Mytilus edulis: one gene and its partner. The protein of the gene in region 1 binds, or shares a complex with, the protein of each later gene. Links are inferred from orthologs where the notes say so. Each region holds a gene or a part of one and is shown in the gene's direction. Other genes may lie near its edges. The genes, in order: methylmalonyl-CoA mutase, mitochondrial-like; methylmalonic aciduria type A protein, mitochondrial-like.

The links.
Region 2: the proteins of methylmalonyl-CoA mutase, mitochondrial-like (region 1) and methylmalonic aciduria type A protein, mitochondrial-like are in contact, whole or in part, in a crystal structure (PDB 8GJU), measured with the Homo sapiens proteins. The link is inferred for Mytilus edulis from reciprocal best matches to the Homo sapiens genes MMUT and MMAA. Residues at the interface, in NP_000246.2 of Homo sapiens: Lys496, Glu609, Arg610, Glu611, Gly612, Arg613, Arg614, Arg616, Ala635, Thr636, Ala639, Asp640, Gly642, Phe643, Asp644, Val645, Asp646, Ile647, Gly648, Pro649, Leu650, Phe651, Gln652, Glu656, Gln659, Gln660, Val662, Asp663, Ala664, Asp665; in NP_001362573.1 of Homo sapiens: Arg98, Ala99, Ala102, Glu103, Thr106, Glu109, Ser110, Thr111, His112, Ser182, Ser186, Gly187, Gly188, Ser189, Leu190, Leu191, Lys194, Thr195, Met197, Thr198, Ser201, Arg202, Met204, Tyr207, Ile208, Arg209, Pro210, Ser211, Pro212, Arg214.

Annotation. Positions count from the first base shown.
Region 1 is NC_092345.1:96,462,173-96,472,471, reverse strand, and holds the start of methylmalonyl-CoA mutase, mitochondrial-like, read left to right. Parts: upstream 1-6,171; 5' UTR 6,172-6,486; coding exon 6,487-6,540; intron 6,541-8,950; coding exon 8,951-9,076; intron 9,077-9,638; coding exon 9,639-9,770; intron 9,771-10,299. UniProt on the Homo sapiens protein: Catalyzes the reversible isomerization of methylmalonyl-CoA (MMCoA) (generated from branched-chain amino acid metabolism and degradation of dietary odd chain fatty acids and cholesterol) to succinyl-CoA (3-carboxypropionyl-CoA), a key intermediate of the tricarboxylic acid cycle.
Region 2 is NC_092351.1:36,713,035-36,723,602, forward strand, and holds the start of methylmalonic aciduria type A protein, mitochondrial-like, read left to right. Parts: upstream 1-5,801; 5' UTR 5,802-5,914; intron 5,915-8,728; exon of another isoform or gene 8,729-10,069; intron 10,070-10,568. UniProt on the Homo sapiens protein: GTPase, binds and hydrolyzes GTP. Involved in intracellular vitamin B12 metabolism, mediates the transport of cobalamin (Cbl) into mitochondria for the final steps of adenosylcobalamin (AdoCbl) synthesis.

The DNA of each region.
Region 1 (10,299 bases):
CCAACTATTTTAATACTTGGATAATCTTTCAACAGATTAACAGGTTTACAGGTATAAAGTTGATGGTCAAAGACAATGTCTGCAGTGCTTTAAAAATGCATGGTTGTATAATATGATGTATTGGATTTTTTGAATAATATTTAGTATGGCATCCTTTCCTAAATCAATATGTAAACTTCATGTTTGCATGTTGCTGGTACAACCAGTTTGGAACAGAACAGAATTTCAAAGTCATTGAATCAGCATTTTGTTTTAAAATACAAATGTACTACCAAGTCTTATGCTTACAGCCACCATTGTCCACACAATATTTACATGGTTAAGTTAAGTAAAGCTGAAAAACTAAATCAGCAACATAGATCAGCTAACGTCATATACCACTGTTCAAGGAGTTCATATTTTAAACACCTTGTAAATCATGTTGACTTAAGTTTATCTGTCATTCTAATTGTATCAGTGAGGTTATTAATTATGTACAAGTGGAATGTTTTCATTGTTTATCAACAAAATAATATACTGGTCCTTTTCATTTAGTACCATGTGAATATATACTAAATTTAACATTGTTATCTTTGATTTCAGAACACATTTCTATCAAATTAATCCACATTGTAAAAGTCTGATTAACAGGTAAAGGTGTTTTATAACAATCTGCCTGAGAATAAGGCACTTGGTGAAATTGTGACAAACAAAAACTTGCTCAGCTTTACATAAATTGAAGTTCAGAATGTTAATTGGTATACTGTTTGTTTCCTTTCCCTGTTCTGGTAATTTAAGATATCATTTGGTTTAAAAACACTAGAAAATAACAATTAAGGGGAGATAACCTGTAATTTGCTATCATTCTAACCAATATATATCTAAATATTTGTTGAATTACCCGACATGCAGATACGAGAAAGTAACTCAGGTCACTATAACATTTAACAAACTTAATTCTATAATTCTTATTTCATGTACATGTAACAGATATAGAGCTGTCACAAATTAGTTTTAGATAGTGGAAGATTAAGTCTAATAAGAATTGGAATTCTACCAGTAGATTAAAATGGACCCCTTACATCATGTACACGCTCTACAAAATCAATTTCAGTTTAATCAATTGTGTCATAGTGTTAACATGTCAGAAATATGTAATTAGCAGGGTATTTTTTTCCATCAAATTTCTTAGTTTTTATGAAGGATTAGTTATATAATGGATTCTGGGTACAATCTTTGAACTGCATACAGCTGATGTACATTATTTATTAGTTTATACTTTAGATGTACAATATATGATATATAACAAGTCTTACCACCACATCCATCATACTAAAAATTTATATAAATTGCTTGTTTTGAATGTATATATTTAAAAAAATGATCATTCAAATCTATTTGATCATCCCATAGTTTATAACAACTAACCTTGCTAATTCTAATGGAGGCATTCCTTCATCAGCACCTCTCTTGAATCCTAAGAAAAAGAATAATAAAACAAGTTGCATTAATACAGTAAGTTACTAACTATGGTTACTTAACTATAGGTGAACAATGATTAATGCATACATGTCATGGCCATGTTAATTTTAAACTAACTTGAGAAAAAGAAATGTTAAAACTTTTTTATACAGATATGATCATGGATATAAAAAAAACTGAAACAAGTCAGAGATTATCTGTTCCCTAACTTTCCTTTGATATATTTTTTATATGTATATTAACATGGGATATGTCTGAAATAATAGAAAAACAAAAGATTTTGGGTTTCCATCCCTGTCAAAAAATATCACTACTTACATACCAAAAAAAGCAAAGGCATTTTCTAACCAATGCACATAATAAGTCATGCATTACATGAGGGTCTTGATTGGGGGTCTATAATTGTAAGTCATTTTTCTCTATTCAGACTTTTATTTATATTTCTAGACCATTATATTATGAATCTCTATTGTTTTTGTTTCTCTAAATCCCATTAAATATCGACTCAGGGACAGTAAAAGAGAAACAACAAAAACCAAAATGTGTTATTATTGGTCCTGAAAACAAACAGAAATCTAACTTTGTTAACCAGAAATTGATGCTAGCAATAATTATTTGAAACTTCTAAAAATCACGAAAAGAATATTTTGACGAATCGCAGTAAAATTTAACCAATTTGAAGCAAACGGAAGCAGTAAATTACTATTTGACGCCCGACAGTTAAGGGCATTACTACCCTCATACATATCGATAAAAGATCTTGCCATAGACTGTCTAGGGTATGATAGACAGAAATCAAAGCGCTGTAAGCGCTGAAGGCAGTTAACCAAAAACCAAGGCAACCGTAATTATGAAAACTGTGGCAATGTTGCCTCAACATTAAACATTCATATATAGTACATTCATGTTTATCTAATGATTTATTTATTAAGGCAAATAATTTATATGTTATCAAGGTTTCAAAAGCAAAGCATATATCAATGTATATTTTTTTATGGTGAGTCTGCAGTGGTACAAGTTCCCAATGATTGCAGTTGTTCTACTTGGTAGTTAACCTTGGTTTTATTTGACTGCTAGAAGTTCAATTTGACATAGTATGAACATGTAATAGTATGAATGGACTGGTTTCCCTGGAAAGAAAACTGAGTTTGTGTTCTGTAGTACAAAAGTTATGAGACACGAATCAGACAAATGTTCACTACAACAGGGATCAAAGATGAGGTCTGACTGACTTGCCCATATATAGTAAATGTAAATGATTTGTTATTTTGTCCCATACATATGAATATATATAATTTAGGGGTGGGGATCTCAACGGTTTTCAAGTTCTCAAACAGGTAGGGGTAGGCAGAGGATTTAGGGGGCAGGGGGCCAGGCCCCCCTTTTTGGGAAAAAATTTGGTTGCTTATATAGGGAATCACTGAAGCGTGACTGAAGCGGGCCCCTCTTAGGTCAGTCAGTGGGCCCCACTTATGAAAATTTCTGGATCTGCCACTGGGGGTAGGGTGACCCTAGGGACTTCCCCTACATTTCATTTTATTTGTTATATTGTCCCATACATGAATATATATGGTTTAGGGGTGGGGATCTCATTGGTTTCCAAGTTCTCAAACAGGAAGGGTAGGGTGACCCAAGGGACTCCCCCTATATTTCATTTAATTAGTTATATTGATCCATACATGAATATATATTGTTTTGGTGTGGGGGATCTCGACCGTTTCCAAGTTCTCAAACAGGAGGGTTGGGATGACCACAGGGACTTCCCTTATATTTCATTTGATTTGTTATATTGTCCCATACATGAGTATATATGGTTTAGGGGTAAGGATCTTGACCATTTCCAAGTTCTCAAACAGGAGGGTGAACAGTGACCTCAGGGACTCCCCCTATCTTTCATCTGATTTGTTATATTGTCCCATACATGAATATATATGGTTTAGGGATGGGGATCTCGATCCATTTTTAAATTCTAAAACAGGAGGGGTGGGGTGACCCCTAGCGACTCTTCCTATATTTCATTTGATTTTTCATATCGTCACAAACATGAATATATATGGTTAAGAGGTGTGGATCCTGACCGTTTCCAAGATCTCAAACAGGAGGGGGTGGGGTAACTCCAGGGACTCCCCCTATATTTCATTTTTTATTTATTATATTGTCCTATACTTGAATATATGCAGGGGAGGATTCAGACGGGGGAGGGTTGCGGGCTTGCACCCCCCCTTAAATTTGCAAAGCATGGGTTGTTCTCAGCTTAATAAAGAAAATTCCGATAATTTTAACCTAAAATCCTGGATCTGCCCCTCATATGGTTTAGAGGTGGGGAGCTCGACCGTTTCCAAGTTATCAAACAGGAGGGGTAGAGTGGCCCAAAGAATGCCACCTATATATCATATGATTTACTTACATTAAGGTATATGTAATATAGTTGCATTATTTGTGAAAATAAAGAATGAAACTTTCAGCTACTTTAATTGACCCTTCAAAATTGAGAAAAAAACAAATAACCCCTCGAAATCGCAGTAATATGTTTACACTTTAAAAGCATCTCACATGCATTATCATCATTTATCATTTATAAAGAAAATTTAGACTGTGACCATGAACATGTATATTGTTAGATATACTGTTCCCAGCTGGCACGTTGTATTGGATTTTTAAATTAAAATTTATCAAAAAGTAATTTTTAGTTTCTGAATAAAATATTTTTCTGCTTTTTCTTTCTTTTACATATATCTTTTGGTTTACAATACTAGTGTTTATTTTCATTTACCATGCATAGATGTATTTTTCAACTGCTTAGATTTATTTTGTAAATGATCGTCAAACCCGGAATTACCCTTATCCGCTCCCGGAATCGGATCCGATTTTGTAAAATTTTGTCTTCACGGCCGCCATTGTTATGTGTTTACAATGTTGTTTTTGTCAATCAGATACGATTTTACTCGAATTTATACAATATTTGTCGGCGATTTTCTGTATAAAGCTAGCGGTTGAACAAAATGAACATCGCCGTCATGAATAATAATGATAAAAATAAGTTTTTAGCTCGTTTAATTGGAGACTTTGGTGAACATGGTGAAAAGGTTTGCAAAGTAAATTCTTATTTTCTTTCAAATGTAAGGCGACTACGTCGGGCGTAGCTAGAAACCAACTATCCTAGTCGAAGTTCCGCTTGCAAAAGTGGAAGGTCTCGGACCACCGCTAATTTGCACACCTGCCTCCAAATTGAAAAGCTACGAAAATTTCTTTTTCTAATTTGAAATTGCCGCCAACAGCATGAACAGTTGAATTATATAATAGACTACTGATGTAGTTGTACTACGTATTGATGACAAATAATATTCCTACGACTTTTGTCATTTGGGAAATCTAAACTGCTTGTCTTAAGAGATTTTCGGCGATTAAATATTTCATACAATTGTTCTTTGACATCTTAGCTAAAAGCACAAGTCATAATGAACTACACAAGGATTTTTAATAAGCACTACTTCCTATGTGTAACTTTAAAACTTTTGGATAAATCGACGATCATTTACGGTTTTTCTGGTCATTTTTTTTGTAATCCAGAATAAAAAGTATTAAAAAAGTGTTCAATTAGTTATATATAACATAGTAACAAGCTAGATAATAACAATGGCAAGTATTTCAGGATTTATTGGGTAGAACAAAAATCTAGGGTGCTCGCATAATGCAGCTTAACTGCATAAAAAGTGCCCTAGTTAGTAATAAACTACCAAATGAAATAAAATGTTGTGAAAACCTGGACACTTTTAAACAAAAATGTGTTGATTTCTTGACTATAAATGATTTATAACAACTTACTCAAATATTCTAATGATTTGTATGTTATGTATATATATTTGTAGAGTTGTCACTGACTCAGACGTACTTATAAATATAATTATTTTCTGTGACTGTATATTACATTAATTTGTAGGATCCTTTACTATAGATAATTTAGCTGATCTGTAACAATAACATCTTCATGCCTCATATATCATGTACTGTAGTACGCCGCTAGATTAAAACTGACGAGGAAAGGTAACACACGGCCAGCGAAAGCTCTTTTTTGAGAGCCCAGGTGGTCGTGTGGTCTAGCGGGACGGCTGCAGTGCAGGCGATTTGGTGTCACGATATCACAGTGGCATGGGTTCGAATCCCGGCGAGGGAAGAACCAAAAATTTGCGAAATCAAATTTACAGATCTAACATTGTTGGGTTGATGTTTAGACGAGTTGTATATATATGAATTTATTTTTCTCTTGTTCTAGACAGTTTATAGTAAGAATGAATAGTGCATTTACATAATATGTTAGAAACTGTAAGCTTTGTAATATTGTGAGGGCCTCAAGGTAGATTAGTGAAAGCTAATTGAGTCACCCTCTTTAAATAAAGCCATTACTTACATGTACTTACTTACTTACTTACAAGTTCTGAGAGGAGTGCTATAGTTAAAATCAGCACTATAAATCTAACTGACCTATTGACGATTTTGTTTTTTTTTATTTCTAAAACCTAAATTACCCATATATAAAACTGTTGGAATGAATCCATATTGAAATGTTACTCTAACAAGTTTAAGAACAGAGGAAAGTCTCTTTTTAGCTTCTGGACTCATGTCTGCCATAGCTTTACTTTTAAGGTTAATGTTGAAATAACGTACAATTTCATTGGTTAAAAGTTTCTTTCAACCAATCAAAACCAGCCTTTCATCTGACAACAAAAATGTCTGCGCCCATGCACAACGATTTTTCAATGATTTCAAGGTCTTTTTATGCTTTATCATTCTTATCATTACTCTTTTATTGCAAATTTCTAAGCATCTTTAAAATATTAAGTAAAATTATCATTAACGACCTTATGAAAAAGAGAGAAAGTATACTATTTGCAGAAAAACGTCTATTCCATTCGGAATACACAAGTTTTTACGTAATAAAACCTGACCTTGAGAAAACATTCGTATGCCCCCGGTTTTTTCCTTGTCTAGTGCTAAGCCCACAGAGAAACCTCGTAAAAACAAATAATGTATAAAATACGAAATGTCACTGGCCGGTTTCTATGCAGACAAACATTACAGGTATATTTGAACCTTGAAAAAAGAAATCAAGAGAATGCCACTTCCATGAAAACAGTTTAAACTCGAAAAGACTCACACAACTTCACAAGTGAAGAGTGAAGAGGTTTATAGCTTAGAGAAACTTGAGCTGTAAAGACATTTCGGCCCTGGCATATTTTGTTTCGGACATTAACGTCTGCAGCCCTGTCATTTCATACTTACTTTCATTGTACTAAAAAAAACCAGGCTTCCCTCTACATGGTGTCTGTCACTGCGTCTCTCTGTCCTGTCTGGTTAGCGCTTTCATGTGTGCAATTCTTGCAAGATTTTTATTAACAGTATATCATCTAGGTTTATATCAGCAATGTCATGGATGAGTAGAAAAATCAGTGCCAATCAATTACTTTTTTATACGCCCGTTTAGTGTATTATGGTATACCGTCATGACCCTTGGCGTTGTCCGTATGTCTGTCTGTCCATCGTCAACATGTCGGACATTTCATGTAACTCCAAAACGCTTTACCCAATTTGCATAAAACTTAGTGAATTGCATTTTTCTATTGATGTTGGCTCCCTTTTGTTATTTCATAAATTTTATATTTTAGGTTTCAGAGAGGGGTTTAATTCATTAATAGAGTGTGTGGGTTTTTTTTATCTATTGACACAAGCTCCCTTTCAAATTTTGATTGTGCATTTCCAAGTTTAGTTATGGCAGGAACATACTGTTCCCAGGTTATGGGGTTTTATTCATTAAAAAAAGGAGGATTTTCTAGTTTTCAGACGTACATTACTTTTATAGCGCTTTGAGCAGTTTTCAATAAACATTTTTGCCTGTCTATTAAGATAACTTCCCTTTAGTTTTTCATAAATTTCTGATATATGACATTGAGAAGTTATTGCACTTTATTCTTAGAAAACATAAGGGGTGTATCATGCACTCCTGGCGCAGCTGTTTATTAAAATAGTTTTGACCCTACATGTATATAGCTAAGAAACATTAATTTTTGTGCAAATTCTCAAAATTGCATTGTGAATGCTGTCATGTGTTCAATTCTTGCCAGATTTTTTATACAACAAATATCATAGTTGATTATATTTAATGTGAACAATGTCTTTGACTAGTTAGTCAGTGAGGAGTTAGCAAAGAGTTATGCCCCTTGAAAACATTAAATATCTATGGAAAATTGCATTGTTACATGAAGCACTGAGACTCATATCTTCAATTTTTGAATTAAATCACAGGTTTATATATATCAGCAATGTCTCTGGCAAGTTCAAAAATCAGTGCTGATCAATCATTTTTAGAAGAGTTTATTAAATATGTGGGAAATTGCTATAGAGGATCCATCTATGCATCCTTCCATCCGTCCCATCTTGTTGACGCTTCAAGTGTAAAATTTTTACCAGAATTTTATAAACATTATATCATAGGTTTATAATATCTCTTGCAAGATTTTGAAAATTACTGCAGATCAATAATTTTTAAAAGAGTCATGTCCCTTGGAAATTAATAATATTGAAAATTGTCCTTTTGTCCAATCTTCAATTCTTGTCAGATTTTTATGAAACTTATATTATAGGTTTTATATCAGCAATGTCTTGGATGAGTATGAAAATAAATGCCAATTAATTTTTTTTTTTTTTATAAAGTTTTTGATAAAACATCATTACTTAAGTGTAATGAAGTTATTCCTTGAGGTTAAACAAGGTATAGAAAATGAAGAATGTATATCAAAATCTTTTTTAATGTAAAATAAAAGAACCCAGTTCCAATGTCCCTAAATTGCACATATTTTTTCTATCCTAGCTGTGTCAAAATTATGGTAAAAATTTAAAATGGAAAAGCCTCAAAGAATGAATGAAAACTAATTAGATTATGTGTGCTATTCAAGATCCAGCATGACATATTAAACATAGATTTTCAACATTATTTGACTTTAAACAATAACCGAACCAGAGGTAAAAACAGAGTCTACTAAGAAAGAACCAGTGCAGATGCCAACAGGTAATCTTTCCGTAAATCTTTCATTTAAAATGTAAATAGCCAAGAGAGAACTTTCTGTGTTAATGCCAGTCACTGTGCAAAGTTTTCGTGCAGATCCATGTAATTCAAATATTGAAATCCAGTCCCTTTTCTGAAAGAAGAAGAAGAAGAGTTGGTTTCTATCACACTGGATTCACTTGACTTTGACCCCATATCATGGACCTATGATCACCAGTACTAGTTTCAAGTGGTTTATATAACAAACTGTGCTCCCAAGCAATCATTTAGCGACACTTGGCTGTTCTTTTTGTGGACTATTATGTTTTGTTTTATGGTCTGTTTGATAGTTTCACAATAGTTCTTTAAATAAATGAGTTTATACTCTACTTCTACAGAGAACTGCACCAGTATGCTGCAGATGTTTACACATATACTCTACTTTTACAGAGAACTGCACCAGTATGCTGCAGATGTTTACACAGAGAACCAATAGATCAATCATGGAAAGAGAAAGCAAAGAAAGAAATCAAAGGAAAAGATCCAGATGATGTCCTGATGTGGCAGACTCCTGAGGTAAATTGTCATCATCATGATCATTGGATAAATTTTTCCAGGTGTACAAGTTTCTCTGTACTCATAGTGAAATTTGAGGTGTAAATACCGCCACATTTCATGTATTTACAAAAAGGTTATGATGAACCTTATATTTTGTTTTTGTGTGTAATTTTTATGCCCCCATCGTAGCAGAAGAGGCATTACGTTGCTCCTCATATTTTGAACACATTTGAATACTATTTGTAGATGATAAAACTGTTCAGTAGCATTCTTCATGTTTACCTAGGAGGTATCCATTTTGTGTAAAAAGAAAAAACTGCTCCTACAGTTTTAAACACATAGACAAACTTTTTTTAATATATTTTTCACCTTACTTAGTGTACTTATTAAGATGATCCTTGCCGACTTTTCAGATTGTGAAATTTAGTCATTTTTCTTGATGAAGGGTACAATTTATTATAATTTGGTCCATACTTACTTACACCTCCATGAAGTTTAATTTTCTATTGTTAAAGAAATCAGGTCATAGTAATGTATCAGGTAACAATAAGTTAAGTTGAAGATATATATTTAATTTCAGGGCATCAATGTTAAGCCAGTTTATACAAAGAAAGATACAGAACATGTGGAGAAAGAACTTCCAGGCCTATATCCCTACACAAGGGGACCTTATAGTACAATGTACACATACAGACCTTGGACCATCAGACAGGTTAGTGGATACACAAGGTCTATATAGTGTAGAGTGTTAAAACAGAGACTTTCAAACAAGATTTTCATACGTATGCTGTCCCTATATCACAGTGTATACATTCTGACTTTATATATCAGACATTCTAGTAGACCTCTTAACTAGAATACCGTTAATTCAGAAATGTTTGTGTTAACTGTTGCCATGTTCAACAAAGAATGGACAAACATATTACATCAATTGTGATTTAAGAAATGAAGCAAAGATATAATGCATGTTATCAAAATATAAAAGTGAATTGAAAAGGTTGAAAAGTTAAATGAAAACATTGTACATACAGACACTAGTTCTCTGTCAAATACAGGAGAGAACACATTGAGTAATATCCTTACAGAAATAGTTGCAACAGATAAACTGTCTTTTTCAACATTAATCCTTCAACTATGAGACCAAGATCCATAGATAATAACTTGAAAAAGAAAGGATGTATGGTAGTTGTCAATGAGTCAAAATGTGAGAATACAAAGGGAAACTTTCATTTAAATATTGA
Region 2 (10,568 bases), on another chromosome or scaffold:
TAAGCAAGGAAAGAACAAATCGGCTGAGCTTTAGTTATGAGCTAGAAACTGTACATGTGCTTATACTTTGTTTTAATGTTACATTAAAGGTTAAAGAAAGTGGTGCAGGTTTTTTTAAGAATATCTGATTGTTTTATATTTAGAATAATATATATGTTATTCATCTGCATACAGTTATTTGTTTGCAGATGAGCAAATGGTTGTACTAAATCACTCTTTTCCATGAACATTTTTCCTTGCATTTGTGTTTTTATGAGATCAAATCCACTCTTCTTATTGTTGCATTATTTTACCAAAAACCTTGCTGTACGTGTATTTGACAAAACATTGTTAAAATATATTGTAATAAAACATATGTGATATTATCCTTTTCTTTAGTATGTATCTTCTCCTCTGATTTTATTTTAGGCCAGCCCCTTTAATAAAAACTCTATAGTCACTATAGACATATTGATATCCATGGCTTATGGATCTGTGGTAACACACACACACACAGTATTGTATTTTGGTACTCTGTTACTGGAAGCTAGTTCAAAGTTAAAACCAACTAATATTAAAAAATCATGTATCTAATTGATATCAATCAGTTCACATATATAACATCCAATTGAGTTTGATGGAAAAAGCGTCAATTTGGAAGACATTGTCCAATGACCCCTTACAGTGGAATGATAATGATTTTTGAAAAATAAAATCAACAATGTAAACATTAAGTCAACATGGTTGAAATGATGAAATCGTTAATGAATCTGAGAGGAGAAATATTTCCCTTGAAAGATTATTTAAAGAGAGGAACAGTAAAATGTCCAGCACATTAGAATTAGTCAGCATGACTGAAATTGTTAATTGACTCTTTATAGAAGTTATTTCACCTAAATGATTTTTTTATCCGTTTTCTCAAAACTAGAGGATTTTTACATAGGGATAGTGATCCGGTGGCGGCGGCGTTAGCTAACTTCTTAAAAGCTTTATATTTTAGAAGGTAGAAGACCTAGATGCTTCATACTTTGTACATGTATATGGATGCCTCATGTTACGAAGTTTCCGTCAGTCACATGTCCAATGTCCTTGACCTCATTTTCATGGTTCAGTGACTACTTGAAAAGAAAGTTAACATTTTTGGTAATGTTAAATTCTCACTTATTATAAGTAATAGGATAACTATATTTGATATGTGCGTACCTTGCAAGGTCCTCATGCCCATCAGACAGTTTTCACTTGACCTCGTGGAAAGAAGTTTTGGTGGTCAAGTCCATACCTCAGATACTATAAGCAATAGGTCTCCTGTATTCGGTGTATGAGGGGGGATAGGACCTTTATCGGGACTCCGGGATCAGGTGTTTTTAAGCTCGGGATTTCGGGATCAGGGAATCCTTTTTTTTGGATTTCGGGATGTCGGGATTTGCTTTACACCAATAGGTCTACTATATTTGGTGTATGGAATGATTGAAAGGTGTACATGTCTAGCTGGCAGGTGTCATCTGACCTTGACCTTATCTTCATGGTAATCAGTGGTCAAAATTAAGTTTTTGAGTTTTGGTCTTTTTTTCTAATACTAATTGCAATAGGTCAACTATATTTGGTGTATGGAAAAATGTAATGATCTATTTGTTAGTCGCACAGGTTTATTTGACCTTGACCCCATTTTCATGGTTCATTGCTCAGTGTTATTTTTTTGTGTTTTGGTCTGTTTTTCTTAAACTATAAGCAATAGGTCAACTTTATTTGTTGTACGGAAGAATTGTTAGCTGTACATGCCTGCCTTGCATGGTTCATCTGACCTTGACCTCATTTTCATGGTTCATTGGTCAATGTTTAGTTTTCTTGGTTAAGTTTATGTGACAGTTGTAATAAAGCTTTATATTTAGGACTATCAACATAAAATCAATGATTAGTAAAGAAGGCGAGACATTTCAGCCTGTGCACTCTTGTATTTCAGAAGGTAAAAGATGTGAATTGTTCAAAGTCATAGTATGAAGATAACTTAAATTACAAAGGTTCCAATTCTCGTTTGTCCATTGTCATTATCCTTATTTTCATTGTCCAGCAACTGCTTTAAAACATTTTTATTCCCCTGATGTAGCTGAGTGGGCATTAAGTTTTATCCTTGTCCATCTGTATGTCCATTCTTCCAAAAGTTGGTTTCCAATCTCTAACTTCAGGCCTGAACCAACTGTTTTAAAACTAATACACAATGAATATTACCACAAAACACAGATCAAGATGTTTGGTTTCCATTCTCTAACATAAGTTTGTCTGAATCAAATGTAACGAAACTTATTCACAATGCATTACCACATAACACAGATTAAGTTTGAATTTCGGTCGGGTCACTTTAACTGTTCTAGAGTTATGCCTCTTAGGGACGACATCAAAAGTTCAATGTAGGATAAAAAACTTAATTCACATAGTTTTTTCACTGACCCCCCCCCCCCCCCCCCCCCCCCTCTTAACTTAATTTGGGAAAAATTGATTTACCAATAGGGATATATGTAAAAATCGATTTTTGATATACAAAACTTGCAGAATTTTAACCCCCCTTCCCCCCCAAACTATTTGATTTAAGTTTTTTATCCTACATCGATCTTTTGATGTCGTCCCTTACATGTCTTTATAAATGAAAAAAAAAATTGCTGAATGTTTAGTTTCCGTTCTCTAACTTCAGTTTGCCTCAACTAAATGTTATGAAACTGATACACAAAAATTAAGCTTATTACAACAAAACATAGATTTATTTCAAATTTTGGGGGCATCACTTTAACTGTTCTAGAGTTATGCCCCATTAAAAGTGGGAAATTGCTGAATTTTTAGTTTCCGTTCTATAATTTTAGTTTGTCTCAACCAATTGTTATGAAACTGATACACAATGCTGATGACCACATATCACAGATCAAGTTCAATTTGGTAGTGTCACTTTAACAGTTCTAGAGTTATGTCCCTTTATAAGTTGGAAAGTTCAGTGCTGAATTTTAGATTCCCCTCTATAATTTTAGTTTGTTTCGACCAATTGTTATGAAGCTGATACACAATGCTGATGACCACAAAACACAGATCAAGTCACGACGAGTGTGAATTTTGGTGGGGTCACTTAAACTGTTCTAGAGTTATACCTCTATATATAACTGGAAAGGAAAAAATTCTGAAGTTTTAGTTTCTGTTCTCTAACTTAAGTTTGCCTCAACCAAATGTTATGAAACTTATGCACAATACTCATTACCACAAAACTCTGATCAAGTACGAATTTGGGTAGTGTGGCTTTTACCGTTCTTTAGTTTTTGCCCTTTTATAATTTTATATGATATGCAATCGGGGGCATCATCTATGTCCCATGGACACATTCCCAATCCCCATTTATTCTTCTGTGAAATACTCTCCAGTGGTCGATGTAAGGATTTTAAATTCGTCTTGCCTGGAAGGAAAACAACAGTTATAACAGTGAGATATAGGTATAACAATCCATTGTTGATTGTGTGGAGAATTTGTTTAAATGTTGAAATTTCAGAAGGTAGACTGAGAACTGAATGCTTCATACCTTGTGTGCAGATACCTTTATATGTTATAAAGTTTCCATTTGTCATATTTCCATTGACCTTCACCTCATTTGTTGTTAAGTGAACTAGAATCTGTTTAAAGGATTTTAAATTGACTAAATCAATGTTTTGCGACACATACATGTTACTATCTTCTTGTATTATGACTGATATATTTGTCGCTGGACATGAAGCAGATTCATCAATTACAAGTTCTTTTGCATGCCTTGTAGAATCTATTAACTGGAATTTCAAATTAACTTAAGTAATGTTTAGCCACACATACATGTTACTATCTTTTTGAATTATGACTGATATATTTGTCGCTGGACATGAAACAGCTACATCAAATATAAATTGTTCATCGATGCTTTGTAGAATTGATTCATTTATTGAGAAACACATTACAAATGTCAATTTGTACTTGATTAATACAAATATATGATTATGAAGGATAGGCAGGCTTAAAAGAAAAGTAGGAAGGGTAGAAACATTAGAGGTAGAGCCTGCGTTTAAAAGGTCTTTGTGTCCATCACAACTTGTGTATGGTTACCTTTTATTTTTAACTTTATATGAAGTTAAACTTATTTAAGGTAAAGTAAGTTTGTTGTATACCTTTAGGTCGACACCTTTATGTATAGAATTTGTTTCCTTAATACGAAAGGGTGTGGTTTATGTCCAAGGATTGTGAAATTTCTCAGAGGCTGTATCGTGCAGTCGTTATTTTGATACATCATTTGGTAGCTAAGTAGACATGTCGTTGGGAAGCACAACTGTGCTACACTGACTGTGTCTGTAAGGTTTTTATGCGGTGCAAAAATGTTTTTAAAAAAATATCAATACAGCTACGTCTCTGCTAAACTGAAGTTTCTAGGCTTCAGCTCTGGGGTTCCCAGTGAAGACATTTTTTTAAACACAAATTTAAGATTTACAGTTACTAAATTAAAAAAACAGGTCGTTTTTGAAATAAATTACATCATTTCTTCTTTTTCTATTTTAAAAGTCCTTTGAACTTCTCTTCTGAATTTTCTCACTATATTTTACATGAAATAACACCTTAACTGCATGTTCAAAAATATAAAGTGTGTAAAAACAGAATGTGGGGTAAACGTCAATGAGACAGCTACATTAGTCCTAGCGACAACAATAACCAAACGACATGTGCACGCTGAACGGAGAAAAGGGGATGGGAGTTTCCCTCAATGGGACAGCATTCCAATGACTACAGATATATATGAATGACATATTCACTTTGCTGATGCTACCATTTTTGTGGTCTTTTTTTCTACTGATAAAAACTGTCCGCAATGAAAAAGGTAAACAATAATCTGTTTAAAGGATTTTAAATGACTACGAAATAAAAGAAGACTCAGAAGAAAGGTGGGAAAGGTAAAGCATTAGAGGCGGGCCAAAGGGTCTTTGATTGGGTCAATCACAGCATATGTGTGGTGGCCTTACATTTTTAACTTTATATTACTAGTAAGTTAAACTTATTGAAGGTAATGCAAGTTCGTTGTTCGTTGTTCAAATTTACAGTTACTGAATAAAACAAAAGTTGAAATCTGTAGAAAATTTCATTTACTAGTTACATATATCAATTTATATTTATGTTTATGATATGTTTAGGCAACTTTGTTTATATCATGTTATGTGACCGTCGGTTGTTTTCTGGGTCATCTTGATAGTTAATACCCACGTAACGAAACTACATATAATCGAGCCCGGGCCATACCTGTTCATTTTTTTTATTCTACCCTTTTTATAATTTGGATAAACGTTTTACAATTGTTATAAATCTAATATGAGAATTTGAGTAAAATCGGTGAACATGAACCTTTAACCTTTTCTTGCACCTCAGCATATTAGTTTAAACAGCATATTGTAATTAACTCAGTAATTTTATGGTTTAAACTGAGCTGTAATGATTATCCTATAATTTGATAATGATATTGCCTTTACTCATTTATCTTTACATAAGTTTTAATGCTCCTTAAGTATTAAAACTGAGACTTCTATAACTATATGTGATATAGTAATCCCAGATTAAAATGTCTATAATATGATTGCTGCAATTATACCTCATGGGTAGTGCTCCACAAATAATGGAGGAACATACATACAAACAACTGAATTGAACTAAATGTTACAATATTTCTGTAAGGATTGTATATACACAAATTTATTCCGTTCCTTGTTTTTAAACAATATTAAATAAAAATTAGGGCCTTTTTTTTAACCGTGTGACACGGGTGCTCCGCTGCGGAGGAATTTACTTAGAGAAGAAGTTAAAACAGTCAGATTGTCGTTTCTCTCCCCACCAGCTTTTTGGCCGTTCTTTTTTTTTTTAGAATTCTGACAGCTATCATCATTGTTGTTTTTACATTGTAGGTACAATTACTCCTTTAAAAATCTTAGCCATTTAATAGGAAAATATGAAAATGGTGTGTTTTTATTCATATCACCTGATCATCAGAGACATATATATTTATATGTCTCTGATATCACATAGCAGTTTTCTTCTGCGTTTCCTACTATAGATCAGTTCTGAGCTTGTCTCAGGGAAGGTCGACTATATAAAGAACATCCGTTGTTCGACCTGTTAGTAAAATGCGTTTTGTTTTAATATACTACATGTACTTCACTTTTTTGGTCTTTTGGAAAATGTTGTTTGTACTGCTGTATTTAGACCCTTCTACAAATTTGTTTTACATGCACATGTATAAACATGGCGGTTTTTATCGAACGCAATCATAGGTTTGAACGTAGTTTTCAATTTAGACTCGCATATATCACTATAATGTATATATACATATTCTATATATGGATAGTCGACCTTCCCATGGATAGAAACAAGTACCTGTGGCTTCTGTCAAGCATTTATCTCTCAGAAACAAATTACTGAGGGTACTCAGTGGCGGATCCAGAAAAAAATTTGGAGGTGGTCCCAAACGAATATTGAATGGTATGAAAAAGGTTAAAAAATACCTTCGACATTATGGAAGATCATGAATTTGGACAACACCATGCAAAATGCACATATTCCTAGGTAAAGGAATTTAAAGACATGTAAAAATGATTTTTTATTTAAGACTCTATCCAATATCTTGCAATCTAAAATAGCACAACATACAACTGTCATCTGAATTAGGCAAGCTGTAAAAAAAGTTTAGCTAAAATGTTCTGAATCGGTAAAAATAGTTCTACGTAAAATTGTTCAAAATTTACTAATTTAACAAAGAGTCGTTTATCAGGTCATTCAACATCATGCGTTGCGGGTCTTTCCTTGCAAAGTTATCTATAATTTGTTTTATGTTTATATGATAATAAATATTCTAATATGACATATATATATGCATCTTTTGCTTTGTAAACAACACCGTGATAAATACTGGATACATGTATATCTATACTTAGCACATACTCAGAAATATACATACATTTGTGAAAATGGATGTTACAAAATACCTTCTTCATAAAAGTCGTTAATACACATGTATCTGATAGAAACCGTTTGCAATTGCTACATGTATGCCAATTTTATTGTTTTAAAATTTGCAATTGAAAAAGACTACAGAACTTCTATTCGTATTCTGATGCATAACAAACACAATTAATGCACTAGAGCCCAGAGAAATAACAAAATCAAAATAAAATAAAATTCTGTGAAAGTCCATAAATGCTTTTGGCACTTTTAATTCATTTCAAAACATGACATCATACAAATGAAAACGCTAAAGCTAAAGGTTTTTCCATTATGTCATTGTATGTGAACCATAGTTCGTATAATATTTCATTAAAATGGATTTTTTGAGGTAGGGTTAGCTTTATTTTCTGTTCTGTTGCATTATTCGCATATTTACTGATTTCAGAAAGTCAACATGGCGGCTCCTTAGTAATGAAATGTCACCTTTGGATTTGATGATATCTTAAGAAAAGAACATGTAAATTAAAAATGGCAAATGTTGAATTTGAGATTTAAAAGAATTAAACATATTTTTCCAGCGGTTATTTATGAAATAAGTCATGCAAACTACATATTTATCAGAATGTTTTAGCTTTATCTAACAAGGAGTAAAAAAGAACAGCTCCACACCCGGCATACCCTACCACGCTTCAGTTTTTTAATTACCTTATTTGTCCTATTAGAATTGAAATAATTCAACCTATTATACCATGTATACATGTGTACAATTTGGAGTTTATTATGGCGTTTATTATCACTGAACTAGTATATATATTTGATTAGGGGCCAGCTGAAGGACGCCTCCAGGTGCGGAGTTTCTCACTGCATTGAAGACCTGTTGGTGACCTTCTGCTATTGATCGCTATTGTCTGTTCCATGCATGGTCGGGTTGTTGTCTCTTTGACACATTCCCCATTTCCATTCTCAATTTTATGTTTACTGACAGAAACTTCCTTAAAATTATCTTTGCACCAAACTGAAGTAAGCATCTAACGCAAATGGAATTAATGGATGCATACAATGTATATTTCAAGTATATGTGGCTGACTTTAATAACTGTAATCTGTAATCTGTAATATATATTCTACCAATGTAGGCACACCTCTTCGGAGTATTGGAGTTCACAACATGAATAAAAATATCTTCCACCAATATCACTATACACTATTTACATTGTACATCATATTCTTGACGATAAAATTGGGCTTAATGTCAATATAGGCAGCATCAACTCATTAAATACTTTAAAATCTAAAATATTTATCTAAAAATACATGTATCACTGTTTAAGAGTAGACAACCAATCGTCACTTAGGATTCATATGATATAATGTTATTATCTAATTTCTCTTCTTTTTCTTTATATCATCTAATTGCAACAGTCTATACCTTTCACAATGGAGATTGTAACATAATTGTCCACATTTTGGATCTATAATGTTCTGTATCACTTTAAAAGCTTTTACATTTCTTAACATTGCCATGTAATTAAAGAGATCTATAATCAGTTGTTAAATGTCAAAATGTTCATCTTTAATATTAAAAACAGCTAACTCTTCACTACAGGAATTAATTAAATCTTCCAAAATTGGTTTTCTGATATCTTCTAGACTTTTACACGTTAATTAAAAATGTGGGAAAGTTTCTTCTGTTTCATTACACAGTTTGCATATGGACAGTTCTGTATTATTTGTAAACTTAGCTCTAACTGTTTGCAGAATGTAACTCCCAGTAGCTTTTTATACGACCGCAAAATTTGAAAATTTTTTCGTCGTATATTGCTATCACGTTGGCGTCGTCGTCGTCATCGTCCGAATACTTTTAGTTTTCGCACTCTAACTTTAGTAAAAGTGAATGGAAATCTATGAAATTTTAACACAAGGTTTATGACCACAAAAGGAAGGTTGGTATTGATTTTGGGAGTTTTGGTCCCAACATTTTAGGAATTAGGGGCCAAAAAGGGCCCAAATAAGCATTTTCTTGGTTTTCGCTCTATAACTTTAGTTTAAGTTAATAGAAATCTATGAAATTTTGACACAAGGTTTATGACCACAAAAGAACGGTTGGGATTGATTTTGGGAGTTTTGGTTTCAACAGTTTAGGAATCAGGGGCCAAAAAAGGGCCCAAATAAGCATTATTCTTGGTTTTCGCACAATAACTTTAGTTTAAGTAAATAGAAATCAATGAAATTTAAACACAATGTTAATGACTACAAAAGGAAGGTTGGTATTGATTTTGGGAGTTAATTAGGTCCCAACAGTTTAGGAATTAGGGGCCAAAAAGGGACCCAAATAAGCATTTTTCTTGGTTTTCGCACCATAACGTTAGTATAAGTAAATAGAAATCTATGAAATTTAAACACAAGGTTTATGACCATAAAAGGAAGGTTGGTATTGATTTTGGGAGTTTAGGTCCCAACAGAATAAGGGGCCCAAAGGGTCCAAAATTAAGCTTTGTTTGATTTCATCAAAATTGAATAATTGGGGTTCTTTGATATGCCGAATCTAATTGTCATGACTGTGTATGTAGATTCTTAACTTTTGGTCCCGTTTTCAAATATTGGTCTACATTAAGGTCCAAAGGGTCCAAAATTAAACTTAGTTTGATTTTGACAAAAAATGAATCAGTCAGGTTCTTTGATATGCTGAATCTAAAAATGTACTTAGATTCTTGATTATTGGCCCAGTTTTCAAGTTGGTCCAAATCGGGGTCCAAAATTAAACTTTGTTGATTTCATCAAAAATTGAATAAATGGGGTTCTTTGATATACCAAATCTAACTGTGTATGCAGATTCTTCATTTTTGGTCCTGTTTTCAAATTGGTCTACACTAAAGTCCAAAGGGTCCAAAATTAAACTTAGTCTGATTTTAACAAAAATTGAAATCTTGGGGTTCTTTGATATGCTGAATCCAAAAATGTACTTAGATTTTTTATTATGGGCCCAGTTTTCAAGTTGGTCCAAATCAGGATCTAAAATTATTATATTAAGTATTGTGCAATAGCAAGTCTTTTCAATTGCACAGTATTGCGCAATGGCAAGAAATATCTAATTGCACAATATTGTGAAATAGCAATTTTTTTTTTAATTAGAGTTATCTTTCTTTGTCCAGAATAGTAAGCAAGAAATATCTAATTGCAAAATATTGTGCAATAGCAAGATTTTTTTTTAATTGGAGTTATCTTTCTTTGTCCAGAATCAACTTAAATCTTTGTTATATACAATATACAATGTATATTCACTTTTTACTACCAACTGATAAATTAAAATAATCTTTACCATTCAGTGATAACAAGCAGTTTTTTTACATCTTAATATTTTATGATGTATTTAAATGAGTAGTTATTGTTGCAAACTCCATTAGAAATTTTAATTGAGATTAGTTTTGGAATAAGGGAAAGGGGGATGTGATTAAAAAAATTGGGTTCAATTTTTCTCATTTGAAATTTCATAAATAAAAAAGAAAATTTCTTCAAACATTTTTTTGAGAGGATTAATATTCAACAGCATAGTGAATTGCTCTAAGAGAAAACAAAAATTTTAAGTTCATTAGAACACATTCATTCTGTGTCAGA